Callithrix jacchus: one gene and its partners. The protein of the gene in region 1 interacts with the protein of each later gene in a pairwise test. Links are inferred from orthologs where the notes say so. Each region holds a gene or a part of one and is shown in the gene's direction. Other genes may lie near its edges.

Region 1 (2,597 bases):
AAAATTGGAAAATTTCTACTTTGGAGCTCATTTGTTCATATACTCTTCGTCTTTTATTGCTCACACCCTGCTATTTATCCACTCTTACCTCAACCCTTGACATGGTGCATTTCATCAAGTTACTTATTAGGTATTTGCCTTTACTCAAAACTGCTAATCTTTTCCAGGCTTTTAGCATTTCATGTTTGGCAACTCACAGTGGGTGGTAATAAGCCTTTTCATCATATTTAATCTTTCAGTCTGTGTAAACTATGCTTCTTCTAAAGCAGAAATCTAATGGGAGTTTTGTTCATTACCTTCCTGATGGCTTCCAGAATTGTCATCAAAGAAACATTTCATATTTATATCCTTTTTTGCTCAAATTTTCTTCTGGGTCAATTCAAATAATTTTTTAATGTCTGTATTAATAGAAAATGTTAAATATTTCAGAAAAACTACTTTCATATAATTTTTCTGTACAATGAAATCTTTTCTTTTTCATATGTCTATAATAGATAAAGGAGCCTCTAAGTATCTAATGAGGGTTACATGTTCATCGTTACATATGGGCCATAATTTTAATGCCGTATTTGTTTCATCTTCAAATTTGAAAGTACTTTTGCTATAAGTTTTCTAAAAATATTTAATAATTCTTTTCAATTTAGATTAAATCTCTTGATGAACAAAATATAGTTGGCAAAATTTCCAAGCACTGGACTGGAATTTTGAGAGAGGCATTTACAGACGCTGATAACTTTGGGATCCAATTCCCTTTAGACCTTGATGTTAAAATGAAAGCTGTAATGCTTGGTGCCTGTTTCCTCATTGTAAGTCTGTTCTTACTAATCTTGATTATAGATGGTTTCTCTAGGTTTATTCTGAAGTGATTCAGTAAAGTATATATTTCAAAATTATATTTTAAAATCTGTAGATTTTAAACCAGGATTCCCATTTAATCTTAGCTCTGAAATTCTATTTGATCCTAACCCTCTGGAGTCACAGGTGACTAGTTTCTATCTGAAGAGACTATGGATTTTCACATGGCAAGTGAGGGACTAAGGAGATGTACTAAGGAGATATTTTAGTCTCTCCTTAAATCAAGCATCTCCTAGATGCTTTGAGGAAGAGTTGAAAGTGGGTGTGTGGAAAAAATTTAGTGAAACAAGAAAACTTTACCATGACTCATAATAATTAAACTAAACTATCTAATATAGGAGTATGAACTACAGTAAGAGTATACATTCACTCAAGTGTGTAGACTTAACTGCCAAATTACAGGAAATGATTGTTTATACCAGTGCTTCTGAAATTGTCTTCACATTAGAATCACCTAGGGACCTTTAAAAACTCCCAAGTACTAGTCCATACCTCAGTTCAACTAAATCAGAAACTTCAAAGTTTGTATAGTGTTCCAGGTGATTTTAATATGCAGCCAAAGATGAGAATTAGGGGGATGGAGAACACTTAGAGAAAAAGACCAGAAGATTAATTAAATTCTTACAAGTATCAATAAATAAATAGAATTATAGAATTCTATTATTATTAAAATGGAAAGCTAAAGGTGGAACTTATATAATTATAGAGCTCTTCTCTTCTATTTACTTATTACAGTTAATTTTTTAACAGATATGTTACTGTGTTTCACTAGATCCCTTAGCATTTCTGCATCTGATAATTGATCTCTGTTTTGTTGCTGAAAATTCATTTGTGTATTTTTGTTTTTGTCTAGGACTTCATGTTTTTTGAAAGCAGTGGCAACCAGGAACAAAGATCAGGAGTGTGGTAGTGGATTAGTGAAAGTCTCCTTAGAAGATCTGAAGTCTGTATATTGATCAGGACTATCTAAACTCATACCTATATAAATTAAGCTGTAATGCTGGTAGCTCTGGTTGTATACTTTTGCTTTGCAAGTTATTGAGTTTATCTTCTGTATAACTGATTTATAAAGGCTTTTATGCATTTTTTAATACTCACTGTGAATTTGAGAAAAAGGACATAGGAGTTTTTACAATTGTTAATGAAACTTTCTATGAAAAACCGCTTTGAATCATGATCTCTGTTTTACTACCAAATATTAATTAATGCCTTATTAGTTTTAATATAAATTATATTTCATTCTATTACATCTAGTTACAATTTATTTCATGCCTAACCAATAATGTTATTTTACAAATGCCATATATTCAAAAAATTTCAGATAATTTATTATTATATTCAAATAATATTCATTACGCATATTATCTTTAAAAAGATGTATTTATTTTTTTAATCTTCAGGAAATCATGCTACACTTAACTTCTCCTGGAAGCTAATCTGTACCATAAATAATACGCTATTCATATTCACAAGATATTACCAATTTTTAAATTATTGTTATTAAAGAACAACATGATTCTCTCCCAAAGAATGACAGGTTTTAAACACTCCTTCACTGTAAAACTCTGGTATTATTATAACTTTTGAAAGTTAATATTTAAACATGGAATGTTTAGCTCTTATACTCTATTCTTCCTAAAAAATGGTAATTGAAATTATTCAGATGTTAATTAAATATAACATATATGTATTCACAGAGTATAAACCTAAATAATGACCTATTAGATTATACCAATAATCAA
Region 2 (3,500 bases), on another chromosome or scaffold:
TTGGAAGGCTGAGAGGGGAGAATCACTTGAGGCCAGAAGTCTGAGACCAGCCTGGACAACATGGTGAGAACTCACCTCTACAAAAAATTTTAAAACTAGTTGGGTGTAGTGGAGCGTGCCTATAATCCCAGCTACTCCAGAGGCTGAGGCAGGAGAATTGCCTAAACCCGGAAGGCAGAGGTTGCAGTGAGCCGTGGTCATGCCACTGCACTCTAGCCTGGGAGACAGAGCAAGACTCTGTCTCAAAAAAAAAAAAGCTGGCCGGGCGCAGTGGCTGACGCCTATAATCCTAACACACTTGGGGAGGCCAAGGTGGGTGGATCACCTGAAGTCAGGAGTTTGAGACCAGACTGGCTAACATGACAAAACCTTTTCTCTACTAAAAATACAAAAGTTAGCCAGATGTGGTGGTGCGTGCCTGTAATCCCAGCTACTCTGGAGGCTGAGGCAGGAGAATCGCTTGAACCCAGGAGGTGGAGGTTGCAGTGACCCAAGATCGTACCATTGCACTCCTGCCAAGGCAACAAGAATGAAACTCCGACTCAAAACCAAAAAATAAAAAAAAGCCCTTGATTGGTAGAAATTTTCTCTGAGACCTGGGAGCATTTGGTGGCTAATGGGACTCGCAGATCCCCTGAAGTTGGAGGCAGGTCACTCAAATACCCAAATCTTGCTCTGCAGACAGCCCTGCACCTCCGGGCTCGGCGGAACTTCCAGGACTTCAGGGGAGTGTCCCGCCGCACTGGGGAGGAGTGGCTGGTGACAGTGCAGGACACGGAGGCCCACGTGCCAGATGTCCACGAGGAGGTGCTGGGGGTTGTGCCCATCACCACCCTGGGCCCCTGCAACTACTGTGTGATTCTGGACCCCATCGGACAGGATGGCAAGAATCAGCTGGGGCAGAAGCGTGTGGTCAAGGTGAGGACCCGGCCCCCACCCCCCACCACCACACAGAGGATGACCCTGGGAGGTGAATGCCCTCGAGTAGCACGAGACCCTCTGCCCTTTCTCCCTTCTTTCCTTCAGACGCACGTTCTAGGAACACCTTCTGTGTCTTTGCATGCTTAGTTCTCACGCGCCTGGGACACTGGCCCATTTGATTCCTGGCAGTCTCCAACTTACCCTTCAGACCTGAAGTTACTTCCCCTTCTGGGAAGGTCTTCTGGCTGCCCCCCAGCCCAAGACCCTGAAACTCTGATACAGTCGTGTGTCACTTAACAATGGGATGCATTCTGAGAAATGGTCGTTAGATAATTTTGTCTTTGTGCAAATGAGTGCACTTATGTAAACCTAGATGGCACAGCCTACTATACACCTAGGCTAGATGACGTAGCCTGCCCCGAGGCTGCCCACCTGCGCAGCATGTGACTGTCCTGAATACTGCAGGCAGCTGAACACAATGGTAAGTACTTGTGTATGTAACCATAGAAAAGGTACTGTAAAAATACAGTATAAGGCCAGCTGCAGTGGCTCATGCCTGTAATCCCAGCACTTTGGGAGGCTGACGCAGGTGGATCACTTGAGGTCAGGGGTTTCAAACCAGCCTGGCCAACATCGGGAAATCCCGTCTCTACTAAAAATGCGAAAGCGTGCTGGGTGTGGTGGTACACACATGTAATTCCAGTTACTTGGGAGGCTGAGGCACAAGAATTGCTTGAACCCAGGAAGTCGAGCCTGCAGTGAGCCAAGATTGTGCCGTTGGACTCCAGCCTGGGTGACAGAGGGAGACTGTCTCAAAAAAAAAAAAAAAAACAAAAAAACCCCAAAGCTCCATTATAATCTTACGGGACCACCATGTGCAGTCAGTAGTGGCCTGAATTAGCACGTGGTGACTATTTCACATCTTTTATGTTCTGGTATTCGCTTCGCTTTGTCATCTCTTGTAAAACAAAACTCTGTGTGTACCCTCTCCCACCCCATACCGCATCCCCTCTCCGAACTATATGTGGGATTACCAGGAGTTGCCAAACTCATTCTGTAAAGGGGGCTGGATGGTAGATATTCCAGGCTCCATGAGTCATTTCCGTGGAAGTTCTTCCACTCGGCTGTTACGTCCAGAAAGCAGCACGGGCAGTACGTAAACAAGTGAGTACTGCTGCATTCCTGGAATATTTCATTTGCAAAAAACAGGAGGCAGGAAAAGTAGAAATAGGCCGGGGTTAGTGGCTCCCACCTGTAATCCCAGCACTTTGTGTGGCTAAGGTTGGCGGATCACCTGAGGTCAGGAGTTGGAAACCAGCCTGGCCAACATGGCGAAACCCTGTCTCTACTAAAAATACAAAAAAATTATCTGGGTGTGGTATCAGGTGCCTGTAATCCCAGCTACTCTGGAGGCTGAGGCAGGAGAATCACTTGAACCCGGAAGGTAGAGGTTGCAGTGAGCCGAGATTGCACCGCTGCACTCCAGCCTGAGTGACAGAGTGAGACTCTGTCTAAAAAAAAAAAAAAAAAAGAGTAGAAATAACCCAAATGTACACCATTTAACGAATAGATAAAAAATTGTGGCATATCCATACAATGGAATATCATTCAGTCATAAAAAAGAAATGGCAGGCCAGGCACAGCAGCTCATGACTATAATCCCAGCTCTTTGAGAGGCCGAGGCAGAGGATTACTTGAAGCCAGGAGTTAGAGACTAGCCCTGGGTAACATAGCGAGACTCCATTTTTACTTTTTTTTGGAAACAATCTCACTCTGTCACCCAGGCTGGAGTGCAGTGGCGTGATCTGGGCTCACTGCAACCTCCGCTTCCTGGATTCAAGCAATTCTCCTGCCTCAGCCCCACAAGTAGCTGGGATTACAGGTGCCTGCCACCACGCCCAGCTAATTTTTGTGTTTTTAGTAGAGATGGGGTTTCACCATGTTGGCCAGGCTGAGCGAGACCCCACTTTTACAAATATTTTTAAAAACTGGCCAGGCATGGTGGCACACTGGTAGTCTCAGCTACTTGGGAGGCTGAAGTGGGAAAATTACTTAATTCCAGGAAGTGGAGACCATACTGTGCCACTGTACTCCAGCCTGAGGCAACAGAGTGAGATCCTGTCTCTAGGAAAAAGAAAACAACGAAATGACATAATTTTATGTGCTACAACATGGATTAAAATTGATAAACATTATAATAAGTGAAAGAAGCTGGCTGGGCGTGGTGGCTCAAACCTGTAATTCTAACAGTTTGGGAGGTGGAGGCAGGCAGATCACCTCAGGTCAGGAGTTCAGACCAGCCTTGCCAACATGGTGAAACCCCATCTCTACTAAAATACAGAAATTAGCCAGGCATGATGGCGGGTACCTGTAATCCTAGCTACTCAGGAGGCTGAGGTAGAAGAATCGCTTGAACTGGGAGACAGTGGTTGCAGTGAGCCAAGATCGCACCACTGCACTCCAGCCTAGGTGGCTGAGCAAGACTCTGTCTCAAAAAAAAAGAAAAAAGCCAGACATCAAAACCACATGTTGCATGATTCCATTAATATGAAATGTCCAGAATAGGTAAATAAAGAAAA
Region 3 (3,500 bases), on another chromosome or scaffold:
CCAGCCTCAGCCTCCTAAATTGCTGGGATTGCAGGTGTGAGCCAACTGTGCCTGGCCTATGTTGTTTTGAAGTATATGAGTTTAGAATTATTTATCTTTTATTAATATTCTAGAAATGAGTCTCCTAATCTATAATAATAAATTTTGCCTTAAAGTTTGTCTGATATCAATAGAGTAACATCAATTTATTTGATTAATTTTTGCCTGTTATATATTTTTCTGTCTACTTTGTTTTTCTGTATGTGAGGTATATCTCTTATGACTAATCTATGTCTAGATTTAAAAATATATAGGATTTCAGAGTCACTCTTAAATGGTCAATTTAGTATTTTTTCTTTATTGTGATAACTAATATTTGGGTTCATTTCTATCTTATTTTGTGATTTTAAAATTTTTATGTATTTTCTACTTCTTTCCTTTTAGGATTTAATCACATTTTTGTTTTATTTTTCTTCTTTTACTAGTTTGAAAGTCATACATTCTGTTTTATTTCCCTTTTTTTTTTTTGAGACAGAGTCTCGCTATATCACCCAGGCTGGAGTCCAATGGCACGATCTCAGCACACTGCAGCCTCTGCCTTTTGGGTTCAAGTGATTCTCCTTCCTCAGCCTCCTAAAGAGCTGGGATTGCAGGGGTATGCCACCATGCCCAGCTAATTTTTGTATTATTAGTAGAGACAGGGTTTCACCATGTTGCTCAGGCTGGTCTTGAACTTCTGGCCTCAAGTGATCCCTCCCCCCCTTGGCCTCCTAAAGTGCTGGGATTACAAGTGTGAGCCACCATGCTTAGCCACATTTAAATTCCTTTAGTGACATTTCTATTTTTCAACATGTGTTCTTGATTAATATGAGAATTTAAGCTTTTATCTTCCCAAAAAAAGAATTTTAGAAATTCTAACCAAAGTCATTCATCTCTCATCTTACATGTTATTGTTAGGTATTTTGGTTCCACCTTGTTTCTGTATCACAAAAACTTTAAATATTGGATTGCATGTGGTGGCTTCTACCTGTAATCCCAGCACTTTGGGAGACCAAGGCAAGAGGATCATTTGAGCCTAGGAGTTCAAGACCAGTGTGGACAACATAGCAAGACCCTGTCTCTACACAAAATACAAAAATTAGTCAGGTGTGGCGGTGCACACTGTAGTCCCAGCTACCCAGGAGGATCACCTGAACCTGGTAGGTTGAGGTTGCAGCGGGCTGTGATCATGACCATTCCACCATACTCCAGCTTGGGGGACAGAGAGACCCTGTCTCTAAATAAATAAATAAATACAAAGAATAAGCATATAAATCAAATTTGCTAGTAATTAAAACATACAAAGTAAAGCAAGATGGTTTAGTCATTTGTTAGATTAGCACACATTAAAAATGATTTTTAATGCCAAATGGGTCTGAGAAAATAGTCAAACTATTGAGCACTGGGCAACATAGACCGTATCTCTACAAAAATATTTTAAAATTAGCTGGGCATGGTGGCATGTTCCTGGAGTGCCAGCTACTCAGGAGGCTGAGGTAGCAGGGTTGCTTGAACCCAGGAGATGGAGGCTGCAGTGAGCTATGATTGCACCACTATATCCACCTTGGGCAACAGAGTGAGACTCTTTCTCAAAAATACAATGAAAATAAAATTGTGTATATACTACAATCTAGTTTTGTATGTAAAGGCCAGGCGCAGTGACTCATGCCTGTAATCCCAGCACTTTGGAAGACTGAGATGGGCAGATCACCTGAGGTCAGGAATTTGAGACCAGCCTGGCCAATGTGGTGAAAACCTGTCTCTATTTAAGTAAATACAAGAATTAGCTGGGCGTGGTGGCATGTGCCTGTAGTCCCAGCTACTTGGGCAGCCCAGGCAGGAGAATTGCTTGTATCTGGGAAGCAGAGGTTGCAGTGAGCCAAGGTTGTGCCACTGCACTCTAGCCTGGCGCCTGGCGACAGAGTGAGACTCCATCTCAAAAAAAAAAAAAAAAAAAAAAAAAATTAGCCAAGTGTGGTGGTAGGTACCTATAATTCCCAGCTACTCAGGAGGCTGAGGCTGGAAAATTGCTTGAACCTGGAGACTGAGGTTGCATGAGCCAAGATTGCAGCACTGAACTGCAGGCTGGTTGACACAGTGAGACTCCGGCTCATAAATAAATAAATAAATAAATAAATAATTTTGTGTATAAAACATGGAAAAACATAAAAGCATTAAAAAGACTGAAAGACAGCACTTTGGGAGGCCGAGGCGGGTGGATCACGAGGTCAACAGATCGAGACCATCCTGGTCAACATGGTGAAACCCCGTCTCTACTAAAAATTACAAAAAATTAGCTGGGCACAGTGGCGCGTGCCTGTAATCCCAGCTACTCAGGAGGCTGAGGCGGGAGAATTGCCTGAACCCAGGGGGCGGAGGTTGCAGTGAGCCAAGATCGCGCCATTGCACTCCAGCCTGGGTAACAAGAGCGAAACTCCGTCTCAAAAAAAAAAAAAAAAAAAGACTCAAAGAGTTTATGCCAAAATTTATTCTCTTTTATATTCTCCAGATTTTTTTCACTTAGTTTTTTGAAATATACTTGTTTTGTGTAAGTATGGAAAAGAAATATAAATATATGCACACATGCATATAAACATTTTAAGAATGTGTTATAATAAAAGTGTATTATTTGATACCTTCAGAAATATCCCCATTTTTCTACCTGAAGAAAATTCCTAATTTCATGGTTTGGAAACAGGTATGTGAGCGCTCTTTATAGAGAAATGGAGTTAGCATCTAGAGATGACCTGGAAATGGAGACCTGAAAAGTTGCTGAAAAGTTATGTTGTTGGTTTGCTAGTAGAGTCAAGACCATAGTAATCTTTGATATGTGCCCTACACGCTGAAGAGTCAGGCTTCTTTTAGTTGACTGTGGTTTTACCCTGGCAATTCGAATGACTCTGCTTTCCTCTTCAGGCTCCCGGAGAGAGAGATGTGGGTACCGCCTTGTGCGGAGACAGGGAAATGCCGAGGAGCAGCTGCATTGCGCCGGCAAGGCCAAGAGAAGTGGTGGTCACGTGCCCCGAGTGCGGGAGCTGCTGCTGAGCGCCCTGAGCCCCGAGCAGCTGGTGCTCACCCTCCTGGAGGCCGAACCGCCCCATGTGCTGATCAGCCGCCCCAGCGTGCCCTTCACTGAGGCCTCCATGATGATGTCCCTGACCAAGCTGGCCGACGAGGAGTTGGTACACATGATCAGCTGGGCCAAGAAGATTCCCGGTAGGGCCTTCTGGCTATTAGTTTTCCATGTGCTTGTAGAAAGGCCTGCTGCTAATATTTAAGGGGCAAGAGTACAAAGTAGAGGTCCACGAGCTGTGCCTAGATATTTAACAGTTCCACAGCTGGATTTGTAACTTCTGAGTGCAATATGTTCTTTGCTCCCATCTTGGCATACCTACCTTCAACAAGGCCATGTTCCGATTTAGAATTCTAAGACTCCTCTAAGTTCAGTACCAGACATGGTAGTGCAGAAAGAGCTGTCACCC
Region 4 (3,987 bases), on another chromosome or scaffold:
TCCCTGACACTCATGGGGAGGAAAGAAGCCCTTTCCCTGTTGGAGAAGAAAAGCCTATCAGGGTACTGGTGAAGGCAGGGCTGGAGTTGGGTGTTGACTGTAATCTTGTAGCTCTTGTCTACTGATGTGCAGGGTGCAGTCACCGGTTTTACTCTTATCTTTAACCTCTTCCCCCATCTTTACCCTTACATACTACTCATCCTTCCCGTTTCTCCTTAACACTTGACTACCTGGCCTGCCCTATCCCATCTTGATTTCACTTGTTCTACCCTCAGCTGTCCCCTCTTGCTCTGCTTTCATTTTTAAAATTTGAGATGGGATTCAAGCGATTCTCCTGCCTCAGCCTCCCAAGTAGCTGGGTACAGGTGCACACCACTACACCTGGCTAATTATTTTTAGTAGAGATGGGGTTTCACCATAGGCTGGAACTCCCGAACTCAGGCGATCTGCCAGATGGCCTCCCAAAGTGCTGGGATTATAGACGTAAGCCATCGCCCCCGGCCCGGTCTCCTGCCCTGCTTCCAAATGCTAGCTAACCTGTGAGCCTTTCATCTGTCTCCTTTGCCATCCTCAATGGTGACTCACTTGTCACCTGCTCTGCTTTTATCTGCTAGTTCACATGCCTGACTCTCACCTGATGCTTCAGCCTGTATGCCCTCACCCGCTCCGGCCAGGTCAAAGAGTCTTCGTCCCTAGATTCCCGTGTGCTCTCCAGGGCGGGACCTTCCTGGGGAACGGGAAAGCGGAACTTCAGTCCAACCAGGAAGCACCTGGGAGTTTTTGATGCGGAAAGGGCGGTGTCTTCTAGAGAATCTGCCAATAAAAGGCCGAGATGAAAAGGGTGATTGAGCCAATGAGACTAGGAGACAGGATTGCGGGGTGATCTGTAAAGTGCAACGAGCGGACCGGACGCGAACGCCAAGACAAGGCGGATCTAATGACGGGAAAGGGCCAGTGAAGCTGAGTAGGGACGGTGGGTAGGCCGAGCGGGCCATGTACCCTGCATCCCGATCCGACAGAATTTGGAAGTCCTGGGGCTACTCTTACGTTCAGCTTTTAGGAGCGGACAAGGAAAGCCACTACCACCCTGAATATCCTGGCTCTTACCCCACCTTCACTCAGGTGGTCCGGAAGCGGAAGTGACGAACACGGAAGTAGCCTACTGTTGCCGAGGGGACGGGCCGGGCAGATGCCAACATGGCAGCAGTTGGGGCTGGTGGTTCCACCGCAGCGGCCGGGCCAGGGGTGGTTTCCGCGGGTGTATTGGAGCCGGGGACCGCGAGTGCCGGTGAGACAGTCTGCGGCCGAGCAGTGGCGTGGAGGCAGAGGTCACGATTGTTAGGAGTTGGGAATGGTCCTTACTAAAGTGAGAAGGAGCATCCCGTGTGGTCCGACGTGTGTGTGCGCGCGCGCGCGCACCTTGTGAGTGTGTTGGGGGCGGGGAAGAGAACATTGTGAGGTTGATTGTGGGATCCCTCCGCATATGGAGAGTAGAGACCATTGTCAGTGTGGAGGGTATTTCTTTTTGGGGAGGCTAAGGCCACCGAAACCATTCTGAATGTGTGGGGTCCTTCCGTGTGGAAGAGACCATTCTGCGGGTGTGGGAGTTCTTCGTTGAAGGGAGAGACTATTCTGAGGGTGGTGGTTCCTTCCTTATAAAGGGACAGAGACTATTCTGAGGGTAGGTCGACTCCTTCCTTATATGACTAGAGAGGGTCCATTTTGAGGATGGGGATGTCCTTCATTATGTGCAGAGAAGATCGTGCTGGGGGCTCCCTTCCTAATGGAGGTAGAGATCGTTGTACATTCGGGTGGAGGGCTCATCGTTATATGGTGGAGAAAGAACATTCTGAGGGTGCCGGGTCCTTCCTTACAGCAGAGAGAGCTAATTGTGAGTGTGGGTAGAGCAAGGAAAAGTTCATTAGCTAGAGGGTCGGTGTGCGGTGGTGGGAGGATGGTCCCTTTGGAGTGCAGGGAAATATGTCCTCATCTGTTTGAGGGAGCCAGACCATTCTTAGTGGGATAACCATTTCTGATGCAGGATTCAGTCCCTGGGAGCATGGGGAAATCAATTCTTATATTTAGTAGATTATTCCGGGTCAGGAGGAACCAGTTGTCACAGGAGGGAGGGGTTGGAGAGACCATTCTGAGTATGAGGAGGATCATTCCATATGTGATATAGGCCATTCTGAGTGTGAGGGAATCAAATAATTTCTTAGATGGGAGAATGACCAGTCCTTAGGGGGTGAACATACCTCATACAGTGGCGTCATTCCCTGCACTGATTTATTCTTTACATGGGCCAGTCCCTCGTTAAATAGGAGCATCATTTCATATAAATCCTCAGTTTGCTCATCCATAAAATGGGAATCCTTGCAGTTATTTTAGAGATGAGAAAGATATGAGAGTCTCTTGAAGTAATCCATAGAAATCCCTTAACCCAGTGATAGGTACACATGAACAATAAACATGGAGAATGTAATTGTCAGTATTCTGCCTGGGGAAGAGTTGCTTCTCACTTGGGAGGGAGCCAAGGCACACGGCCAGGGTTTACCTCAGCCATTCCTGACACCTCGGTAAGGGTTCCAGGTATAGACTGGACAGGGTGGGGCCCATTTCTCCCTTCTGGCTCTTCCTGCTCATGGCTGAGGTAGTAAGCTGTTAGGAATCAGACTTTCATTGGGTGAGGGCATGCAGGCTAAGGGAGCAAGTAGCGGTGGCTAGGAGGGTCCTGGGTGACAAAGTAGAGGGGGTGGGTGGTGGTGTGGCTGTGCCCCAGTGGCTTCTGACCCCTCCCTTACCCCTTGCTCCTTCCATTCCCCACAGCTCATAGGCGCCTGAAGTACATATCCCTAGCCGTGCTGGTGGTCCAGAATGCCTCCCTCATCCTCAGCATCCGCTACGCCCGCACATTGCCTGGGGACCGCTTCTTTGCCACCACTGCTGTGGTCATGGCAGAAGTGCTCAAAGGTCTCACCTGCCTGCTGCTGCTCTTCGCACAGAAGAGGGGTACGAGCCAGGGAGGGGTACGATCCAGGGAGGGGGCTGCACTGGGGTCAGTGGGTGGGACTCCTTATGTATGTGTGTGTGTTCACACAGAGCGTTTGCTTCAGTTGTCTCCAAATCTGAACCTGCCTGGGGAACCCTTCCAGCTGTGCGTAGCTGCATCTTACACTTTTCTAGCCCTAAAGGTGGGGAGCCGGCCTGTGTGGACTGTAGGAGTGATTGTCTATACTTATAAAGTAGCAGGGGGATGGCACATGTGATTTAGTCATCTTTAGCTTCATATTATGGAGAATTCCAAATGCAAACTTAGAGAGAATAATCAAATAGTAAATATCCATGTACCCATCCCCCAGAGTCAGCAAGCAACTCCTGGCTGCTCATTAATCATCATCAGTGATTGTCCACTCACTGCCAATCTATATGTCTACCTATGTCCTTATCCCATTCTATTTTGAAGTTAATCCCACACAGAGTAATATTGTATGGAAGAAATTCCCCCATATTATCTTGAATAAATGTTTTGGTGCGTTTTTTTTTTTTTTTTTTTTTAAATAAATAATCCCAGCACTTTGGGAGGCCCAGGTGGGCAGATCACCTGAGGTCAAGAGTTCAAGACCAGACTGACCAAAATGGTGAAACCCGTTCTCTACTAAAATTACAAAATGAGCTGGGTGTTGTAGTGCATGCCTGTAATCCCAGCTACCTGGGAGGCTGAGGCAGGAGGATCACTTGAACTCAGGAGGCAGAGGTTGCAGGGAGCCAAAATCTCGACATTTCACTCCAGCCTGGGTGACAGAGCGAGACTCTGTATCAAAAAAATAAATAGCCAGGCACGGTGGCTCATGCCTGTAATCCCAGCACTTTGGGAAGCTGAGGCCGGCAGATCACCTGAGGTCAGGAGTTTGAGACCAGCCTGGCCAACATGATGAAACCCCGTCTCTACTAAAATTACAAAATGAGCTGGGTGTTGTCGTGCATGCC
Region 5 (3,409 bases), on another chromosome or scaffold:
CTTTTAAGTGGAAAGACATTTTAAAAATGTGTTTTTTTTTTTTTTTTTGGTTGTTTTGCCTCAGCAACGCTATAAGGAAATGACATTGAGTAAAACATTATTAGAGGACATGCTATATGCATTGAATTCTTTACACAACTGTTTGGAAAAATGTTCCTGTATAATTGTGGTATAGGTAAGGAATCTGAGGCTTAAGGAGATTAGTAATTGGTGAGTTGAAGTTGAATCACATTTATTTAAATTAAAATCCACATGCTTAACCACAATGCTTTAAAGGCTTCCCTTGTATATGCTGTATGGTCAGTGAAGGGATAAAAGGAAAAACAACGGGAATATTCTATTCCCAAGGACAAACCTGTGGTATTCATCCTGGAAATAATGATATTTGTTTAATTGAGGTGCATATATTACAAATAGCAAAGTACCTTCCAAAATGTATGTCATTTAGTTATCACAAAAGTCCTACTGGTGGTTTGGGAGAGCATATAGCGATGCCACTAAGAACCTAACTTGGGGTCAAACAGGTTTAGGCTTAAATAGTAGCCCAGAAATTTATTAGCCCCACAACCACGGGGAAAGTAACCTCTCAGTTCCCTCATCTGTGACAGGTGATAAGATATGCCTGTCCCTCAGGCTCGATGACAGGATTATTTGTCAGTGAGCACATGCAATAAAAATGTTTGTGGTCTTGTTATACTTATTATGAATCCTGATTCCCAAGAGTAAGAAGAGTTGGCACCGGCCAGAAGGTTAAGAGAATGGGCCAAGTTTTCTTTCTTCAGTAATTTTCCTTTATCCCTTAGGCCATCCAATGGTGTAGAATGTGGGGTTTCCAATACTCAAGTTCTCCCGTCCCCACCCGGTTCAGCTGAAGGCCCATCTTCTAAACCCCTGACTCAAGGCGATACAACGCGTTCAGCTAAACTCCCTCCAGCCTTGCTTGATTGAGCAGCCCAAACTCAGCCTGGACACCCGCTTCGCCTCCCTCAAACACTGCGTCATAAGCCCCCTGCGAATGTTCGCCTGGAGCCTGGTTCTGGCTAGAACCCGGTCTTACACAGGGAGGACGATTTCGACCCCAATTGGCTGTTGCCCTGGCTGTTGTCTTGGTGGGGACGCGGGAGGCCACGGCGGGTATATAAAGGCTGCTGCTACCTGCGCCACACCAGTCCCGCCAGGACGGTGACAGTGAAGCACCTGGGTTGAGAGGGAGCAGTAAGGTAACCGCACAACCCCTGCCTCCCTGGCCCCCGCCGGCGCCTCAGCCGAGCCGGGTGTGGGGGGACCCGGGAGTGGGTCTCACTGCGTGTCGCCTGCCAACACCTTCCTCCCCCACCATCCTTACCCAGCCCCTGTCTCACCCAGCATACCTGGGCGAGACAACCCGGGTGCGAAGGACAAGAGATTACGACCGAAGAGCGAGCAAACCAGGAAGACAGCGGCCTCCTGGAGAGTAAAACGTGATCCCAGGGGCAGACACGTGGCGCTGCGTGAAGAAACAGACGAGGCTCTTCCCACCGTCCCGTTTGGCCAAACTTGACAGCTTCTGGGTCGCTGCCATCCAGACCTCTCAGAGCTCCCTGAACCATGACGGAGACCTTCAACATGAAAGAAGACCCTGTGAACCTGGGTGGCGGTGGAGCACACTCGTCCTCCCTGCACTCCTGGTCGTCCTGCTACCGAAGGCGCCGGGGCGCTACCGTGTACAATAGATGGCACCGCTATGGCCCCAAGACCGAGTATGGGCCCCCAAGGAAACAGCCAAAGCAACAGCACAGCCCGGGGTTTTGGTTCCAATCACCCGTGTGCTCTAACTGGGGGTGCTGGGGAGGGCCCTGGCGCCCACCCCCTCCAGTATTCTGGAGGCCCCCCGGCCGAGTGCAAGTGATTAGTGTGTACGGCCTGCACCCGCTCTGCTTTTGCTGCTGCTCCTGCTGGAGCGGATCCTGGAACCCTGGCTGGACGAGGTCCCCAGGCAAGAAGAAGCGCTGGGGCCGCAGGGGCCGCAGAGGTCGCGGCCCGCGCCACCACCCTCGCCGCTCCTCCTCGCGGAGCCCGCCGGGGGATCTGAGCATGCCGCTGCGGCCGGCCAGCCCGTACGAGTGGAGAGCGCCTGGCTTGCGAGCGCCGCGCAACACCACCCAGTTCATCATGGACCAGATCTATGAGGACATGAGGCAGCAGAAGGAGCTGGAGCGTCAGCAGGAGGCGAAGAGGGTGCAGCAGGCCGTGGTGGGCGGCGAGGCCTTCCCAGCAGGATCCTCCGGAAACAACGCGCCCCCTGGCGGCAGCGAGGAAACCTGGGCGCTGCAGGAAACTTTGTATGACCTTGTACAGAATCCTCTAGCATTCAGTCCTACCCCAGAGGAAAACCAGTCTCCTGCCCCTATGCTGGTGAAGGAAGAGGAGGAGGAGGAGAAAAATGATGAGTATGACCAGGAGGTGTGTGATGTAAAGGAAGAGAGCGAGGAGGAGGAAGAAGAGGTCGAAGATGATGAAGAGGAAGAGGTTGAAGAGGCTGAATATGTGGAGGAAGGGGAGGAGGAGGAAGAGGAGGAGCTGGAAGAGGAAGAGGAGGGCCTGGAGGAGAACAGGCAGGGAGGGGAAGAATTTCACCTGCCTCTGGAAATGCCTTTATCACTCTTTGTAGGGGCTGAAGAAACGAGAGAGAACTTTATAAACTGTACTTTTTTAAACCCAGAGCAGATAATTCCCAACATACCACAGGAATCCCTGTTCCTGGCACAGGACTTTAACTGTTAGACATCAGAAAAGGGATTGAGGAAAAGGATGGAACTGATTTGAGGCTAAACTAGATTAGCAATTTATTAAAAACTGATTAAAAAGTGAGTTCCATTAATAAACAGATCTATGTAAACACCTTCTTTGGCCATTAAAAAATGTTTAAAATTTGATGTGGTTGTGTATGACTATGGGTGGTGGGGGGAGGGAGCTTTCAAATATAAATTTACTGGAACTGGTTAAAGGCCAAATATTTTATTACTTACATTTGAATATTTTCATTTGATATCTTCCCCTCTAGAAAATTGGATTGTTTTTTAAATCTGATAATGCTGAAAAAAAATGCTTTGTTTTTGCAACAAATTTATACAACTTAGCCACTGCTGATCTTGGAATTAAGAAATAATATGTTACATGCTTAAGAAGAACATTCTAAGGCTACTGAATGTTCACCAGTGCTCTTAACAAAACTGAAGCCATTTTAAATTCCTGCATTTTTTCAACAATATTTTTCCTCATAGATTTTTCCACCTTCAGAGTTCATTTTTGAGGGCTGTATTTTCTTAACCCCATTTGCAGTCTCTTGTGGCATCGCTCATTTATATTCCTTGTTCCACAGTGCTATGGATCTTCCTCAGAAGAACATGAAGTTGCTTCTGTGGAACTG
Region 6 (4,005 bases), on another chromosome or scaffold:
TTATTCTTCCAGATATAGTCGGTCTTTCAAAAAATGCCTAAAATCATTGTTTGATACTGTATTATGCTAAAAGTGCTTATAATCAATCTGTGTACATGAATGTGGCATCTATGTAATGTATGTTTTGTGTGCATGTGTCTGTGCGATGTGTGCTTACATATATGCATAGGATGCATCTATAATGTGTGGGGTGTGTTTGTATATGTATCTGAGGTGTGTATGTAGTGTGTTTATGTGTGTGTATATGTGCCTATGATGTGACTGTGTGTGTACATGGGATATGTTAAGGTATGTGTATGTATGTGCACAGAATGGATGATGTGTGGTATGTTGATGTATGTGTGGAGTGTGTATGGACATGTGTGAGGTGGAAGAGAGATACTAAGGCCCTGGGAGTGCTAGAATGCTCAGGACATGTGAGAAAGCCAGGCTTGGTCAAACTCCCCTGCCTTCTTGGGGAAAGCAGAGCCATGACCATGACCCTTTCTGGATGTTGCTTGTGGACAGCAGTGTGGGTTAATAGGGCCAGTCTCTCCTGAAGTGCCCTGCCCAGTCTCCCACTCACTTCTCTCCTCCATCTCTCGAGAAAAGGGTGACCGATCTGTCCTTTTAGGAAAAGGAAGCTTCCAGCATGCCACTAAGTAAAGGAGCCTTACTGGTGGTCGTGAAGGTAGTACCACCAGATCAGGATCAGGCTGGCCTTTGAATCTTCAAACTGAATAGGTTAGCTGCTGAGTGGAGCAGGAGTCAGGAGGAGATCCCTCTACAAAGCAGTGGGATCTTTGTTCCCATTATTAGGTGTAAGTGCCCAGTGTGGGTCTCGGTCTTTTCTCTCCTAGGTCACTTTAAGATAGCACACTTCTGCCCAGTTCTCCTGGATCTCACCCTTCTGAGTGTTTCACCTCCAGGTTGCTCATGGCCTCCTGAGTCCAAGGTAGTCTCCTCATTGGGAGGAGGCTCTACAGTGATCTCTGGCAAAGCTGTGAAGAGGTGACTGTCATCTTGGGCACATCACCTTCCCTTTCCCTGTGGGCCTTCCTTTGCTCTGCTTCCTGAACACCATGCTTTCTAGTTCCTCCTGGGAGTGAACATCCGTTGCATGGGGCATCTTCAGGCCATGCAAAACTCATGCTCCCATCCTGTTCCTGCATGTCTCTGGGTTCAGTGTCCTGTCTACATCCTGTGGCTTCAGCCTGAGGTTGCCCATATTCCCTGGCTGGATGGAGTGGCTAAGCCCTGATATCTCTCTTCCCAGAAGAGATGCATGGACTCAAACTTCTCCAGCCAGGAGGAGGATCAGGTGTGCCCAAGTCCAGGGTGCAGGTAAGTCCGTCTGCCATTGGCTTGAGGCTACGAGAATGGGCCTTCCCTTGTTAAAGGCAGTGTTCATTGGGTATGTGTGTAAGGAGGGTAGGGGAGCAGGGGGTAGGGCAGTAAAGAACAGGGCAGGACTTCACGAAGTGCCAGGATTCAAGCAATCCTCTGGCATTTATGTGACTTATTTGTATTGGACCACCAGTTTGCTGATTCCAGGCTCCTCCAGTTTCTGCTCCTCGCTGGTGGCTACCTGACCCTGTGGTGTCTGCTCCCTTCACCTGCTGTTGGCCACAGGACAGATGTGTAGGCCAAGGAAGAATAGGACAATAGTGTTTGGGGCAGACAGGCCTGGGTTCAAATTTCAGCTCCTTTCCTAGCTCTACAAACCTTGGACATGTCATCTGTCTTCTCTGCCAGAGATTCAGATTTCTCTCTGGTAATTGGGCTAATACTTATTAGACTTACTCTGAAGATTAACTGAGATGATGTATATAAATTGCCCAGTTCAGCCTCCGGCATCTGGTACTCAACACATAACTCTTCTCCCGGCTTTCTCTCTTGCATCTCCCCATCTTGTTTTTGAGTGGATCACTGAACCACAAATATCCACTTGGCAATGAAGTCTGGGGAACAGGGACAAATACCAACACTTCCCAGTTTTAGATTTACATGAGACTAACAGCTTTCCTTCCCACAGTGGCAACAGTCAGAGATTTGCAGAGCAGATGCCTTGGTGTGAAACTGCTCCCAGGAGGTGTCCTGTAAATGTTTGCCGACAAAGCAGCGCAGGGGTTGACCTTCCAGCTCTGCCTCCCTGCACCAGGCTGGGAGATTCACCCACCCCCACCGTTTCCTGTGCGTTCCTCTTTCTCAGAGGTTGTGGGCCTGTCCTGCTGTCCAGTGGCACCAGGCTGTGGGATGGGGGGGCCAGCGGGGTGGTTGGAGCAAGCTGCTCCCATCTGGACCTGTGTCATTCAAGAGGAGGCTCAAAAGAGTGTTTTAGGACGCAGGGTTTGGGAGGGGGATGCAGCCTGATTGGGGGCGACCTGTCCAAGCGCAGAGAGCACTTTTCCAAACCCCACTGCCCTGGGCCATCGAATGCTCCTTTGCTCTTGCTTGGATCTAATGATTATAGGTCTGAGCTTCAAAGCAGGTTATAAACCCGACTAATTGCTGGTCTAGGAGAGCTGGGCGAGGAGGCCAAGCCTGCCCATTGTGGGCACCCCGGACTGAACTTGTGGGGTTGGCCCTTCCAACTAGGAGCGCGGTGCTGGAGCCTGGAGCCCCTGGGTGGCCGCGCCGTTCCGCCGGCTACTTGGGTGGCTGCCCTCGCGCTCTGCGCGGGTCTCCGGCGCCGCCTCCCCCACCCCGGACTGGCGCTGCTCCGGCAGGTGGACCTCTCTTCATTCAAACCCGCGCGAGCCAATCAGAGCCGGGCGCGCCCGGGCCGTTCCAACGCGCAGTGCAGCCAGGCCTCCCGCTCGCGCTTCTCCCGCCCTGCAGACGCCTCCGCCGGGGGCGGTGAGCCTGCTGCCTCGGTTACTGGGAAGCAACACAGCCGCCTCGGGTCGCAGGCGCTGCTGTCCGGGTCGCAGCGGGACGCCATGGAGCGCTCACTGCACCGCGTCTCCCTCGGGAGCCGGCGTGCCCGCCCGGACTTGTCTTTCTACCTCACCACCTTTGGTAAGTGCCCGCTGGGGCTGGCGGCAGGGGCTGCTTCACCCTGCTCGCAGCGCCCAGAAACGCAGCCCCTCGTGGTGACAGATGAGGCTGGGAGAAGGTGCTCTTCCCATATGAGGGCACCGTCTCTAACCCCTTTGTCCTGAGACTCTGCTCAGGGCACAGGCTCAGGACAAGCAACTTGCTGAACACCACCTGCTGCCCAGCCATGGGTGCCAACTGCAGTTGGTTCTGCCTCACTTGGCTGGAATAATCACACTCTCGTTAATCTTTCCGAGACCGGGTTGTCACCACCGAGTTTCTCATTAGCAAGCAGCTCAGGTTAAATCAAGGTCTTGTTATTGCAACTGGAGATCTCATTCACCCACTTTCCTTTGGCTCAGGGAGCAGACAGGTGCTGGGTCCTTTGGCCCTGCTGCTTTGCGGGCTCACCTTGGAGGCTGAAATCTGACTTCGTTGGGTATTACAGCCACAGTGGAGATGGGAGAATTCTCTCCTCCAAGACAGAACAATCCCTTAGGAGGGTCCTAGGGCTTCCTCAGGGCTTGAGGTGGAAAGAAATAAACAGTAGGCCTCACTCCCAAGCCCGGAGGTAGCAGACTGAGTTCCCTCAAGTAACAGGTGGGCAGCAGCTGCCCAACAGCGTGGGCAAACCTGGCCTTCCCGGTAGCCATAGTAAAGGTAACAAGGCTTCCCTAGAGTGTAGCCCTTCATTTTCTCACTGGTCCTGTAACCCTCTGTGGAGAGGGGTTATTTTTCCTCTGTGAAGACTGGAAACCAAGAGATCTTCCATGAGCCAGTGGCAGAGTTGGTATCTAAACTCAAGCCTTCCAGAGATGACCTGTCCAGCACATTTTTGTTTGAACTTGCATACAATTTCCTTCTAAATGTTGGGGCTATTACTGCAACATAACTGGACTTTGCCCAGCTTTCAGAGACAGAGTGCCCAAGGAGTTGGTCCCTCCCTGGGGTTCCTGGCTCTTCTGCTTTCAGGCTTACTCTTGTCCA
Region 7 (3,500 bases), on another chromosome or scaffold:
GCCATAGTGAAAAAGAGTAGTTATTCCAAAATAGTGTTTAAACTTAATCTAAACTACCATTGGCAAAGCTAGTTGTTTTTTTTTTTTTAATTAAGACTTGATTGAGGTAATTAGTGATCAGAAGTAAATGAAAAGGTAAATTTAAATAACTTGAAATTTGGGGGCTTATGTGTTCTAAGTATGTGTCATAGATACATATGCTGACATCTCTAATGAAGGCATGAGTACAATGGTAAATAGAAAGTAATTGTAATTTACTTTTATAGTAATATAGAATCCAAATTAATAAAATTTGCTGAAGGAAATAGGGGAATTGTATTAGTCTGTTTTCAGGCTGCTGATAAAAACATACCTAAGACTGGGCAATTTACAAAAGAAAGAGGTTTAATGGACTTACAGTTCTACATGGCTGGGAAGGCCTGACAATCATGGTGGAAGGCAAGGAGGAGCCAGTCACATCTTACATGGATGGCAGCAGGCAAGGAGGGAGCTGTGCAGTAAAACTCCCCCTTTTAAAACCATCAGATCTTGTGAGACTTACTCACTATAATGAGACCAGCATGGGAAAGACCTGCCCCCATGATTCAGTTACCTCCCATAATATGTAGGAATTGTGGGAGTTACAATTCAAGATGAGACTTTGGTAGGGTCACAGCCAAACCATATCAGGAATGTAGATCCAAAGATACAAAGTAGAAGTTATATAAGATGAACAAGTCTAGAGGTCTAGTGTGCAGAGTGAGGGTTTTAGTTATTAAAATTGTATTTTATTTGGAATTTTTATCAAGTAGATTTTAGCTGATTTTGTCACACACATACAAAAAAGTAACTATATGAGATTTATAAATACGTTAATCTGCTTCACTATAGTAACCATTTTACTGTCTACTTGCATACCATAACGTGTTGTAAAGCTCAAATATACACAATTAAATTTATTTTTTCTAAATGACACCTGCTGATTTACTCTTTCATATAATTGTCAACCTGGTTTAGTTTTTATTGGTGATTGAGAGATTCTTTGAGCTGGGCCATAACGTGTTTTGCATATGTCTGTGTGTTTTAACTTTTTGTTATTGCCTTTAGACTGATTTACTTACTTACTTGGTTTTTTTTCTCATAAGTCCTTAATATTCTTTGTCTTAAAGGTTTTGATACTTGCATAGTGTGTATATATTTGATACCTAGAGTATCTAGAAGCTAAAGGGAATGATTTTTAAACTCATTAATCATTTTGAACACATTTCTTCGTCACTATAACAAGCTAACATTCTCCTTGAAGATTTCAGTGATTAATTTTATTTTCTGCTTTTTAAGCCTTTTGGGAGCTTATTAACCAAAACTTATTGCCCTCTTTTATACTAACCTACATTTTACTAACTGTTGTTATAGGATCATAGAACTCAATGGTGGACAACCGCCTCTAACTTATAAAAGATTCCAGACTCTCATCAGCAAAATGGAACCACTAGAGATACCAGTAGAGACAATTACTTCAGAAGTGATAGAAAAGTGCACAACTCCTCTGTCTGATGACCATGATGAGAAATATGGAGTCCCTTCACTGGAGGAGCTAGGTGAGTATAAACTATAATCAGTGTGAGTCTTAAAAGTTAATAAATCATAAATAACTCAGAAAAATTCCCTTTCAATTTCGCCATGTAAAGTATTTTGCATTAGGAGAGAAAGAAAGGGTGGGGGAAGAAGAAAGAAAGAACTCTTTAAGAAGTGATATGTTTGTTCATCATTTATGTGTTCTATAGATATGTAATCTGTTGTTATCACCTTAAGATGTACATCCTAAAAAATTGAAACCATGTCAAACTATGTCATATCCTCTTTAGGTGAGGGCTTTTTTAGGCCCTCAGTTCCTTTTTATGGTACTCTCTCAATTTTTCTGCAAAGTAATTTATTCTCCCAGTTATTGGGGTTAAATAAAAATTATTTGAGTTTCAGAAGAATGATATTTTTTTCTTTTCTTTCTTTTAGGGTTTGATACAGATGGCTTATCCTCTGCAGTGTGGCCAGGTGGAGAAACTGAAGCACTTACTCGTTTGGAAAGGCATTTGGAAAGAAAAGTATGACAATATAGATTATATAGCTATGCTCATATTTCCAAACTGCCATTTAAAAATAATTTTTCTCTCTTTTAAAAATAACAAATAGACTGTTGAAGGGGGAGCATTAAGGGAAATGGTTAAAATAGAATAAACCTAATTGTTTGAAAATTAACTACCCCTGTAATCCCAGCACTTTGGGAGGCCGAGGTGGGTGGATCACGAGGTCAAGAGATCGAGACCATCCTGGTCAACATGGTGAAACCCTATCTGTACTAGAAATACAAAAAATTAGCTCGGCATGGTGGCACATGCCTGTAATCCCAGCTACTTGGGAGGCTGAGGCAGGAGAATTGCCTGAACCCAGGAGGTGGAGATTGCAGTGAGCCAAGATTGCACCATTGCACTCCAGCCTGGGTAACAAGAGCAAAACACCATCTCAAAAAAAAAAAAAAAAAGAAAATTAACTACCATCTCCTCACTTAAATGTTCTTTCTCCTTCTCTTCTAATTATTTCCCCTTTAGCTACTACCACACTACCTCTTCTGTTCTTTCTGCCTAAGCTGGTATCTAACGACCATAACTTTGAAACTAGGATAGAATTCTATTTCACCTTTACCTTTGTGTTAAAGAGGCAGGTTGAAGGCCAGGCATGGAGGCTCACACCTGTGATCCCAGCACTTTGAGAGGCTGAGGCAGGTGAATCACTTGAGGTCAAAAGTTAGAGACCAGCTTGGCGAACATGGCAAAACCCCCATTTTTTTTTTTTTTTTTTTTTTTGAGACGGAGTTTCACTCTTATTACCCAGTCTGGAGTGCAATGGCACGATCTTGGCTCATCGCAACCTCCACCTCCCGGGTTCAGGCAATTCTCCTGCCTCAGCCTCCTGAGTAGCTGGGATTACAGGCACGCGCCACCATGCCCAGCTCATTTTTTTATATTTTTAGGGCCAGGATGATCTCGATCTCTTGACCTCGTGATCCACCCACCTCAGCCTCCCAAAGTGCTGGGATTACAGGCTTGAGCCACCGCGCCCAGCCCAAAACCCCCACTTTATTAAAAATACAAAAATTAGCCAGGTGTGGTGGTGTGTGCCTGTAATTCCAGCTACTTGGGAGGCTGAGGCATGAGAATTATTTGAACCCAGGAGGCAGAGTTGTAGTAAGCCAAGATCACACCACAGTACTCCAGCCTGGGTGATGGAGTGAGACTCCATCTCAAAATAAATAAATACATTTTCCAGGCATGGTGGCTCATGCCTATAATCCCAGCACTTTGGAAGGCCAAGGTGGGTGGATCACTTGAGGTCAGAAGTTTGAGACCAGCCTGGCCAACATGTTGAAATCCCATTCCTACTAAAAATACAAAAATTAGCTGGGCATGGTTATGTCTGCCTATAGTCCCAGCTACTCAGGAGATTGAGGTAGGAGAATCTTCCACCTG

What was found.
Region 2: the proteins of phospholipid scramblase 1 (region 1) and MVP interact in a two-hybrid assay, tested with the Homo sapiens proteins (2 studies listed by BioGRID and IntAct). The link is inferred for Callithrix jacchus from reciprocal best matches to the Homo sapiens genes PLSCR1 and MVP.
Region 3: the proteins of phospholipid scramblase 1 (region 1) and ESR2 interact in binary tests that used the Homo sapiens proteins (3 or more experiments, as listed by UniProt). The link is inferred for Callithrix jacchus from reciprocal best matches to the Homo sapiens genes PLSCR1 and ESR2.
Region 4: the proteins of phospholipid scramblase 1 (region 1) and SLC35A2 interact in a two-hybrid assay, tested with the Homo sapiens proteins (2 studies listed by BioGRID and IntAct). The two-hybrid records come from large-scale screens. The link is inferred for Callithrix jacchus from reciprocal best matches to the Homo sapiens genes PLSCR1 and SLC35A2.
Region 5: the proteins of phospholipid scramblase 1 (region 1) and CCER1 interact in a two-hybrid assay, tested with the Homo sapiens proteins (2 studies listed by BioGRID and IntAct). The two-hybrid records come from large-scale screens. The link is inferred for Callithrix jacchus from reciprocal best matches to the Homo sapiens genes PLSCR1 and CCER1.
Region 6: the proteins of phospholipid scramblase 1 (region 1) and RGS3 interact in binary tests that used the Homo sapiens proteins (3 or more experiments, as listed by UniProt). The two-hybrid records come from large-scale screens. The link is inferred for Callithrix jacchus from reciprocal best matches to the Homo sapiens genes PLSCR1 and RGS3.
Region 7: the proteins of phospholipid scramblase 1 (region 1) and CRY1 interact in a two-hybrid assay, tested with the Homo sapiens proteins (2 studies listed by BioGRID and IntAct). The link is inferred for Callithrix jacchus from reciprocal best matches to the Homo sapiens genes PLSCR1 and CRY1.

What each region holds. Positions count from the first base shown.
Region 1 is NC_133518.1:38,674,083-38,676,679, forward strand, and holds the end of phospholipid scramblase 1, read left to right. Parts: intron 1-296; exon of another isoform or gene 297-398; intron 399-644; coding exon 645-806; intron 807-1,708; coding exon 1,709-1,765; 3' UTR 1,766-2,097; downstream 2,098-2,597. UniProt on the Homo sapiens protein: Catalyzes calcium-induced ATP-independent rapid bidirectional and non-specific movement of phospholipids (lipid scrambling or lipid flip-flop) between the inner and outer leaflet of the plasma membrane resulting in collapse of the phospholipid asymmetry which leads to phosphatidylserine externalization on the cell surface.
Region 2 is NC_133513.1:29,674,046-29,677,545, reverse strand, and holds part of MVP (major vault protein), read left to right. Parts: intron 1-681; coding exon 682-918; intron 919-3,500. UniProt on the Homo sapiens protein: Required for normal vault structure. Vaults are multi-subunit structures that may act as scaffolds for proteins involved in signal transduction. Vaults may also play a role in nucleo-cytoplasmic transport.
Region 3 is NC_133509.1:98,924,358-98,927,857, reverse strand, and holds part of ESR2 (estrogen receptor beta), read left to right. Parts: intron 1-2,934; coding exon 2,935-3,234; intron 3,235-3,500.
Region 4 is NC_133524.1:49,472,968-49,476,954, reverse strand, and holds the start of SLC35A2 (UDP-galactose translocator), read left to right. Parts: upstream 1-1,187; 5' UTR 1,188-1,197; coding exon 1,198-1,288; intron 1,289-2,826; coding exon 2,827-3,009; intron 3,010-3,987. UniProt on the Homo sapiens protein: Transports uridine diphosphate galactose (UDP-galactose) from the cytosol into the Golgi apparatus, functioning as an antiporter that exchanges UDP-galactose for UMP.
Region 5 is NC_133510.1:90,189,116-90,192,524, forward strand, and holds CCER1 (coiled-coil domain-containing glutamate-rich protein 1), read left to right. Parts: upstream 1-1,167; 5' UTR 1,168-1,220; intron 1,221-1,349; 5' UTR 1,350-1,587; coding exon 1,588-2,763; 3' UTR 2,764-2,909; downstream 2,910-3,409. UniProt on the Homo sapiens protein: Regulator of histone epigenetic modifications and chromatin compaction into the sperm head, required for histone-to-protamine (HTP) transition.
Region 6 is NC_133502.1:161,766,176-161,770,180, forward strand, and holds the start of RGS3 (regulator of G-protein signaling 3), read left to right. Parts: upstream 1-1,205; 5' UTR 1,206-1,220; coding exon 1,221-1,323; intron 1,324-2,818; exon of another isoform or gene 2,819-2,921; coding exon of another isoform or gene 2,922-3,000; intron 3,001-4,005. UniProt on the Homo sapiens protein: Down-regulates signaling from heterotrimeric G-proteins by increasing the GTPase activity of the alpha subunits, thereby driving them into their inactive GDP-bound form.
Region 7 is NC_133510.1:109,859,856-109,863,355, reverse strand, and holds part of CRY1 (cryptochrome-1), read left to right. Parts: intron 1-1,392; coding exon 1,393-1,577; intron 1,578-1,989; coding exon 1,990-2,078; intron 2,079-3,500.